2 linked regions of the Pelodiscus sinensis genome follow. The protein of the gene in region 2 interacts with the protein of the main gene of each other region in a biochemical or structural test. Links are inferred from orthologs where the notes say so. Each region holds a gene or a part of one and is shown on either strand. Other genes may lie near its edges.

Region 1 (3,818 bases), on a different chromosome or scaffold from region 2:
CATTTGCCTACTTGATTGTGGATCCCCTGAAACGACATATTCATGTATTGTACCATTCTTTTGGTGGAGGCTTATTTTTTAAGTGACTATTCTTAATCTCCAGTTCTATATATTAGTGGTATAATGGAATGGAGGAGCTCTTCTTTCTGTATGGAATCAATTAACACTTTCATAGTTCCATTCCCTTCAATGAAATATACATTGCCTGCCTACACAAAAATGTGACCTACAATATACATTTAACATAGTTTTTTTGAATTATTATCAAGGGATGTTTTATGTTCACAAATTATAATTACATATAAAATGTTTTTAAAAGCTTTGTTACATTGATTTTAAATTGTAAGATTCAGATCCTGCAAACCCTAATGCTTGTACATACTTTTACTTAGCCCCTTAGAAGTCAATGAAACTAATTGTGCATAAATCTAGGATTGGGGCCATAGTGAGTGCATCATATTATCTGAATGCGGCTTGCAGTAACTTGCATAGAACTCAAAAGGATCCATTAATCTTGCTTTCCCCACCCCCACATTGTTACCTGTTGTGTTTCAAAATCCTCAAACATTAAAACTGTTATTCTCCATCTTTTTTCAAAAATGTTAACATTTTATTTTATATAATTAGTTAATAAATAATAGTTGTGTTATAGGCTTACAGGTATGTATTAAGCAGCATGTTGAATCAACCTCGAGTGGGTGTATAGTAAGTTAAATTGACTGAATTGTTTCCATTGGACTCTATATCAGAAAGGTGATCAATCCCCATAGTAAGCTCTGACTAGAGAAAAATCTGTTTTGAATGTAACTGTATAATTTACCCTACCAGAAACGCCACTTTAGTCGTTAAAATTAGTCTCCATAGTGGTACTTGGAGGGTGCGGTTAGGTTCCCTTGTGAGAAGGAGGGTTTCAGCTCTCCCCACCCCCTATGGAGACCAGAGATCCAATTTCTTTCTTCTCCGATTCCCCCTCCCCACCTCTATCTAATTCCGTGGATAGAATGGGAAGCAGTGAGAAGCCACGTTTCTCCCGCCCGCATTCAGGGGAGGAGGCCCTCGCCTCTCCCTCCCTCTCCCGGGGGCCATGGCTGGGAAAAGTCTCCGCCGACCCCCTCCCCGTTCTGGGGATAAAGCGTCTTTCTCCCTCCCCATTCCAGCGCGGAGGTCGCGGGGGGAGGGGCGCAGCAGGAGGCTGGAAGTTTGGAGGAATTTATTTTAAACTTTTCGATGCATGGACTTCAGCATTGAAGGGCAGCGTGGCGGGCGGGAGTAGAGGATTAAAAAATGAGGCGGGCGGTTGCGAAAGGGCTGGCTCTCCGGGATGTTGCGCGAGAGGAAGTTTGCTCGCGACTTGGTGGCGGCCGCTGACTGCCAGATTCTATGCGGACGGGCGCATAAAGAACTGCCAGTGATAGTGGTACCCGGCTGTGACTGGATTCTGAGCGGGCGGGCGCAGTAGGACTAAAAGTTGGCTGCAGGAAACGGTGCGGGCGGGCTCCGCGAGGGGCGGAGCTGGCTGGGAGTGATTCGGGCGGGCACATCTCAGAACTTTTGTTTAGCGAGTTGTGCGAGTTAGTTTCCGCCGCCGGGACAGAGGGGTGGGCCGGGCTCCGGGAAGTTGCTGCTAGGTCGGGCTTGTTTTGCCCGTTGGTGCTGCTGGGCGTGGGGGGCAGAGCAGCAGAAGGAGCACCGGCAGGGCAATAGGGTATGTGGGGTGGAGAGCCCGGGATCTGAGTCGCTGAGCCCCGGTACGGACGCGGAGTCATGGATCCCGGGCAGCCTCAGCAAGCGCAGCCTTCAGCGCAGCAGCAAGCGCCGCAGCCGCCAGGAGCCCAGTCTGGCGCGGGGCAGCCCCCGGGCGCGGGGCCTCCTCCGGCCGGGCACCAGATCGTGCATGTGCGGGGCGACTCGGAGACCGATCTGGAGGCGCTTTTCAACGCGGTGATGAACCCCAAAGGCGCCAACGTGCCGCACACGCTGCCCATGCGGCTCCGCAAGCTGCCCGACTCCTTCTTCAAGCCGCCCGAGCCCAAGGCCCACTCCCGCCAGGTGAGGGGGGGACTCTCCCGCCTCTCGTGGGTGGGGGCGGGGCGCGCCGGGGCGTGTGTGTTGGGGGGGATATCGGAGAGCGTCCCCTTCAGTCGCCCCTTCTCCTCCTCCTGTGTGTGTGGGGCGGGGAACGCCCTCCTCCTCCTGTGTGCGGGGAGGGGGTGGTCTGTCCTTCGGCCCCCGTCGTGTGTGGGATCTCTTCAGCCCCCACTCGTGGGGAGGAGTGAGCGCCCCCTCATGGGTGGGGGCAGGGCCCCCTTGCACTCGGGGTTTGCCGGGGAGCTCGCCCCTTGGAGTCTTGTGGGGCAGCTCCCTTGCCCTTTTATGACGGGGGTGCTCGCTTCTTTGTGCCTATTTTTGGGACCCTTCGGGATTTTACTTTGGAAACTTTACATTTAGTTCGGCGCAGGAGTTACCAGTCTCAGCAGCTGATTTTTGCACTCACATTAGGCCCTGTCTCCGCCAGGGGCTCTCACTCCCCAGCTACCTTACTTGGGAGCCCAATAATTGCACTCTTGTTTCCCAGCGTGTGGGGAGGGGGGGGGGGGGAGAGAATTAACGGCCCTAAAATTATTCCTAAAAATGTTTCACTCGAAAAAACAAAAGGATTTGGTTCTCTAATGTAATAGTCAAATAGTTTGTTTATTTGCGTGGAGAGGGAGTGAGGAATTGTTGCCAAACTTAAAAAAAAAAAACAATCTGGATGTGGTTTTTCCACCATTTCATTATTGGACTCCATAGGATTGAATTTCCCACAGCAGAAACTAATTCTAGTGCCCATGGGTTTTTCTGTCCCTGGTCGTAGGCCTTTCACTTTGCTGAAGTATCAGTAAATTAACCATATCTGCAAATTGAATTGAAATAATTTAGCTGCTGCAGTCCTGTAATCTGAACACTCACGCTTTGTCTACATTGGCACGATCTTGCGCCAAAGCAGCCACTTTTATGCAAAAACATGCTGCCTGTCTACACTGGCGGGGAGTTCTTGCGCAAGAACACTGAACGTTCTAATGTGTGAAATCCGTGCTTCTTGTGCAAGAACTATGATGCTCCCGCTCAGGAATAAGCCCTCTTGTGCAACTGTTCTTGCGCAAGACACCAGTGTAGATAGGCAACATGAATTTCTTGCTCAAGAAAGCCCGGAGCTTTCTTGCACAAGAGAGCGTCTACACTGGCAAGGATGCTCTTGCGCAAAAGCACATCTCTTGTGCAAAGGCACATGCCAGTGTAGACGCTCTCTTGCGCAACTACTTTAATGCAAGAACCCTTGCGTTAAAGAGTATTTGCACAAGATTGCGCCGATGTAGACACAGCCCCAGGGTACAATCCTGCAAGTTTTTAGTACAAGATGAAAAAGATCTGCAGGATTGGCCCCATTATAAGTCCGTAGCAGAGTCTGTTCTTTAAGGAATTTGACTCTGCCAAGACGAAAATGCTGATACAGATATGACTAAAAGTTAATGTTTAGGCTGCTGTTACTAAATTTCTGTAAACTGCCTCTCGTATGTTTTTGCTAAGCAATGAATTTAGCTGATAAGTTATAAAGTAAGATATTATAAGATGGTGTCACTTTATCTAGATAGTCAAAAAAGAGATGTGCTGTGTATTTCACAGGTATCTGGTATTCCTGTAGTTAAGGGCCTGTCAATATTTCCATTATTAAACTCAGATTTGGCAGGATTTATAACTGTTGTAAAACATTTACTCAAAGCTAAACTTTGGCATATATCCTCTCAGCCTAGGAGTTAATTCATTTTCCAAAATTTTTA
Region 2 (3,600 bases):
GCACTATGAAAGGAGTTTAAGGAAATTTTGCACTGTGTATTTTTCATAAACATGTAGTCACCGTGAAGGAAAAATGTACATTTAAGGCTTTTGTTTTCATCTTTCAAGGTCATTACATTTTTTAATAAATTGGTTAAACAGGAATCCAACTATGTAGGTTTACCTGGCAATAATTGGAAACATTGAAAAATATATGGGGAAACCCTTATTTATATGCCTCGGGACAGACCCAGGTTAAACAGCGTAACACACTTTGTGGACTTGGAACCGCTGCTTGCTTCTGTCTAGGAGTGTGTTTATGTTTCCCTTTTGCAGAATAAATGAACGATATACTAACACTTTCTTGTAAATCACACATGAACACCAATACAGAGTTACTTCCCAGGAATTGTTCTGCTGGGGGATATAACACTGACATCGGAAACGTAAACGGTAGTATAATGTATCGTCTCTAGGGATGCTACGGGACACCCCTTTTAAATATCTTACAAGTTGACTCATAGATGCACCCCTGCAATTTTAAAGGGGAAAAATTGAAACAAGACTTCCTACAGGTTTCTTTGAAGAGACAGAACCACACGTCTAATGATTTGTACTGGGGAGGGGGGAGAAATCAATATTTCTATTCTATTCACATAAACCAGTAAATAAGGTGCATTCCTTCTGCTTCTTAAGACATTAGCATTTCAAAAATATGCCACTTTCCCCTGAACTCCAAGCGTGTCTAATAATGCGAGAAGCAGATTGTCTCCCTCGTTTCCTTAATTTGTTTCATCTAAAAGCAATTCACACAACATCTTGTCGCCCTCTGGCAGCTTAGTTTACTTATCCGCACTTAATTTCTCATTTGGACCAAAACAAACTCCTCCAAACTGCTACTGACGGGGGAACGCTCAATACGGATATACTTGGGGAGAGCACACAAAAACGAACAGACAAATCATTGGCTTTGGTAGTTAGACCGAAATTAAGGGGATCTCTTTCCCCACCCCTCCCTGCACGCAGAATTGTTGCAATTTCTCAGCCGCAACCGTCTTTCGAGTCAAAGAAATCCACGAACTAGCTTTCCTCGCCCCTCCTCGCGCATCCTGGCTCGCCTGGTGTCTGAAAAACCCGAGCTTGGCTTTTGTGACACCAGCCTTGTCCAACATACACTCATCACATCCCACTGACTCGGACGGATTCGCGCGCGACGGGGACCCTACGGGAGGAGGCGGCGGCGCCGCGGGACTAATCTGGGGGGATATTCCGTGCCGGGGAATCCCGAGAGGGGCTTGCAAAGGAGAGTCCCCCCCAAGGAGCGCGGTTGAAAGCAGAGGGAAAACGCTGTAGGTTGCCCCACAGATATTCCGCCCGGCCAAGCGCACGCTGCTTTGGAAGGGGGGGGGGGGGCGCATGCACCGCCAGGTGGAAGGGGGTCTGCAGGGGCTCGAAGGGCACCCCAGGCTCGCACGCCGCGGGTCCGACCCCGCAGCCAGCCGATGCGTGCCCGCAGCACGGTGCGCGCACAAACGCAGGGGAACCCAGCCGCGTCTGGCAGGCTGCACGGGAGGAGAGCGACACGGACCCGTCCAGCCCACCTCGCCCCGCGTTCACCGGGGGGGGGCACCCTAGAGGATGGGCTTAAAGCCCGAGCGTTTTGACTCGGCTCAAAGTCTGAGCGGGGCAGCCGATTCCCGGGGTCACACGCGTCGGGGGGGGGGGGGGGGGTGAAGATGCCGCCAACCCTTGCACCAAGATGCCGGGCTGGGTTGTTCCCCGCTGCCCGCGTGCCGAGTTCATCCCGGGACCGGGGCCAAGAGCAGCTCAACAACTCCACAAAGTCCTCCGGGAGCCACGCAACGGGAGTGTTACGGGGGGGGGGGGGGGGGCTGTGCCTGGCTCCACAGCAGCCTGCCAGGGGAGCGCCTAACGCAGAAGGGGGAGGTTAACCTAGGAGCCCTGCATGCCGGGGAGGCCAGACCCCCTCCCGCCAGCGCTGCGCAGGGCGCCCGGGGCCGCACGCAGGTGGGGCAGCGAAGCGCCCGTCAAGCCGCCAGCTCCTAGAGGAGCCGTCCCGGCCCGCGGCACCGCAGCGTCCCCCCCGGAGCGGCCGCAGCTGGACCCCGGCTGCCCCAGCAAGGCCCCCCCCGCGCAGGGTCACACTTCAAGGGGGGGGTCGTCAAACCGGCTCGGCGTCGCGGCCACCCACCTGCCTGCGCCGCGCCGGGCTGCAGGGCGCCGGAGACCAGCAGGCAGCCGAGCCAGCACAGGAGCCCAGCGGCCGGCGGCTTCATGGCTGGCGGAGGGTCGGGCGGCGCGCTCACATGGTCCCCACGGGCAGCTCCCCCCGCGGCCGGGCGCGGGGCACCGGCGGCTTCTTCCCCACTCGGCCCGCAACAAGTGGCTCCCCCGGCTCCACTTTCTTTTTTCAGGGGGGGTTGGTTGGCGGTGCCCCTCCCCTTGCTGCTCCTGCTGCTTCTGCTCCGCTCGCGGGTCCCGGCGCTGCAGGGCTGCCGCCCGGGAGCCCCCCTCGCCTCCGCTCCCCGGCTGCTGCGCGCCGCCGCCGCCCCCCCAAATAATCCCGCACCGAGCGGCGGGGCAGGCTGGAGCGAGACACACACACCGCCGAGGCCCCGCCCCCTCTGGGCACAAGCCCCGCCCCGCCCGCCGCCGGCGGGGCCCGGCTCACTCCCCCCACGCGCGGCCCGGGAACACCTGTCACGCGCGCTTGGCGGGCGGCGCGAGCCCTGCCCCGGGTTAGCCGTAAGGGGGTGATATGCACTGGGCGCCCGCCGTGCCCCGGAGACGCGGCTTTGCAGTGGCCTGCCCATGGGCTCGCTGCGGGGGGTGTCCCGCGGCTGGGGGGTGCTGTGCTGCCCTTGTTTCTTCCTGCTCCGTGCAAGCGCGGCTGGGGGTTGCTTTCCCCTCCTTTGCAATCAGCGGTTGCACCTGGCTGAGCGCGGGAAGGGGTGGGGGACACAGGCACGCTGCCTTTTCCAAGCAGGCACCCCCCCCCCTTGCATTGGATCTAGGGGGGTTGTCCACACACACGCACCCAGCTGCATCGCCGCAGACAGGCTGGACCGCTGGCAATCCCGCAGCTTGCGGAGGCTTTTCCCAAACGCAGCTGGGTCCGCTTTGCAGCGTTTTCCGGGCAGCCCCTGCTGTGGCAGGCGGCGAGGAGCGTGAAGGGTTCGCTCCTGATCTCCCTCACACACACACACCCGCGCGCGCTCTGCAAGGGAGCAGACTGTCCACACGCAGCTTCTCACTCTGGCTGCTGATTGCCCGGGGCGGGGGCAGCTCAGAGAGGCTGCAGGTGGCTGGGTTCCCTTTCAGGTGGCATCATTTAAACAAGAGCCGTGTCTGCCGCGCCTATGACTCAGTTCGACATATGGGATTGCTCCCAAAATAATCCGAAGGGTGTTTTGCTTTGCTTTTGTTACTAAAGCAGCAAGGCAGGAGCTATTCTGGACTGAGGCTGCTGCCAGTGGAGGCTAATTAAAGTAATCTAGAGTATCTGTACCCCTGAGGTTTATCCTTGAGAGGAGCTGTTCCAAAGAGCAGGCGGCTTGCTGGGAACAGCCTGGCGACGTATAGACTGGCATGATTTTCCGC

What was found. The genes of interacting proteins can lie anywhere in the genome.
Region 1: the proteins of ERBB4 (region 2) and YAP1 form a complex in vitro, tested with the Homo sapiens proteins (2 studies listed by BioGRID and IntAct, with this or other methods). The link is inferred for Pelodiscus sinensis from reciprocal best matches to the Homo sapiens genes ERBB4 and YAP1.

What each region holds. Positions count from the first base shown.
Region 1 is NC_134711.1:304,440,597-304,444,414, forward strand, and holds the start of YAP1 (transcriptional coactivator YAP1), read left to right. Parts: upstream 1-1,305; 5' UTR 1,306-1,764; coding exon 1,765-2,049; intron 2,050-3,818. UniProt on the Homo sapiens protein: Transcriptional regulator with dual roles as a coactivator and corepressor. Critical downstream regulatory target in the Hippo signaling pathway, crucial for organ size control and tumor suppression by restricting proliferation and promoting apoptosis.
Region 2 is NC_134717.1:59,548,675-59,552,274, forward strand, and holds the start of ERBB4 (receptor tyrosine-protein kinase erbB-4), read right to left. Parts: upstream 2,623-3,600; 5' UTR 2,277-2,622; coding exon 2,192-2,276; intron 1-2,191. UniProt on the Homo sapiens protein: Tyrosine-protein kinase that plays an essential role as cell surface receptor for neuregulins and EGF family members and regulates development of the heart, the central nervous system and the mammary gland, gene transcription, cell proliferation, differentiation, migration and apoptosis.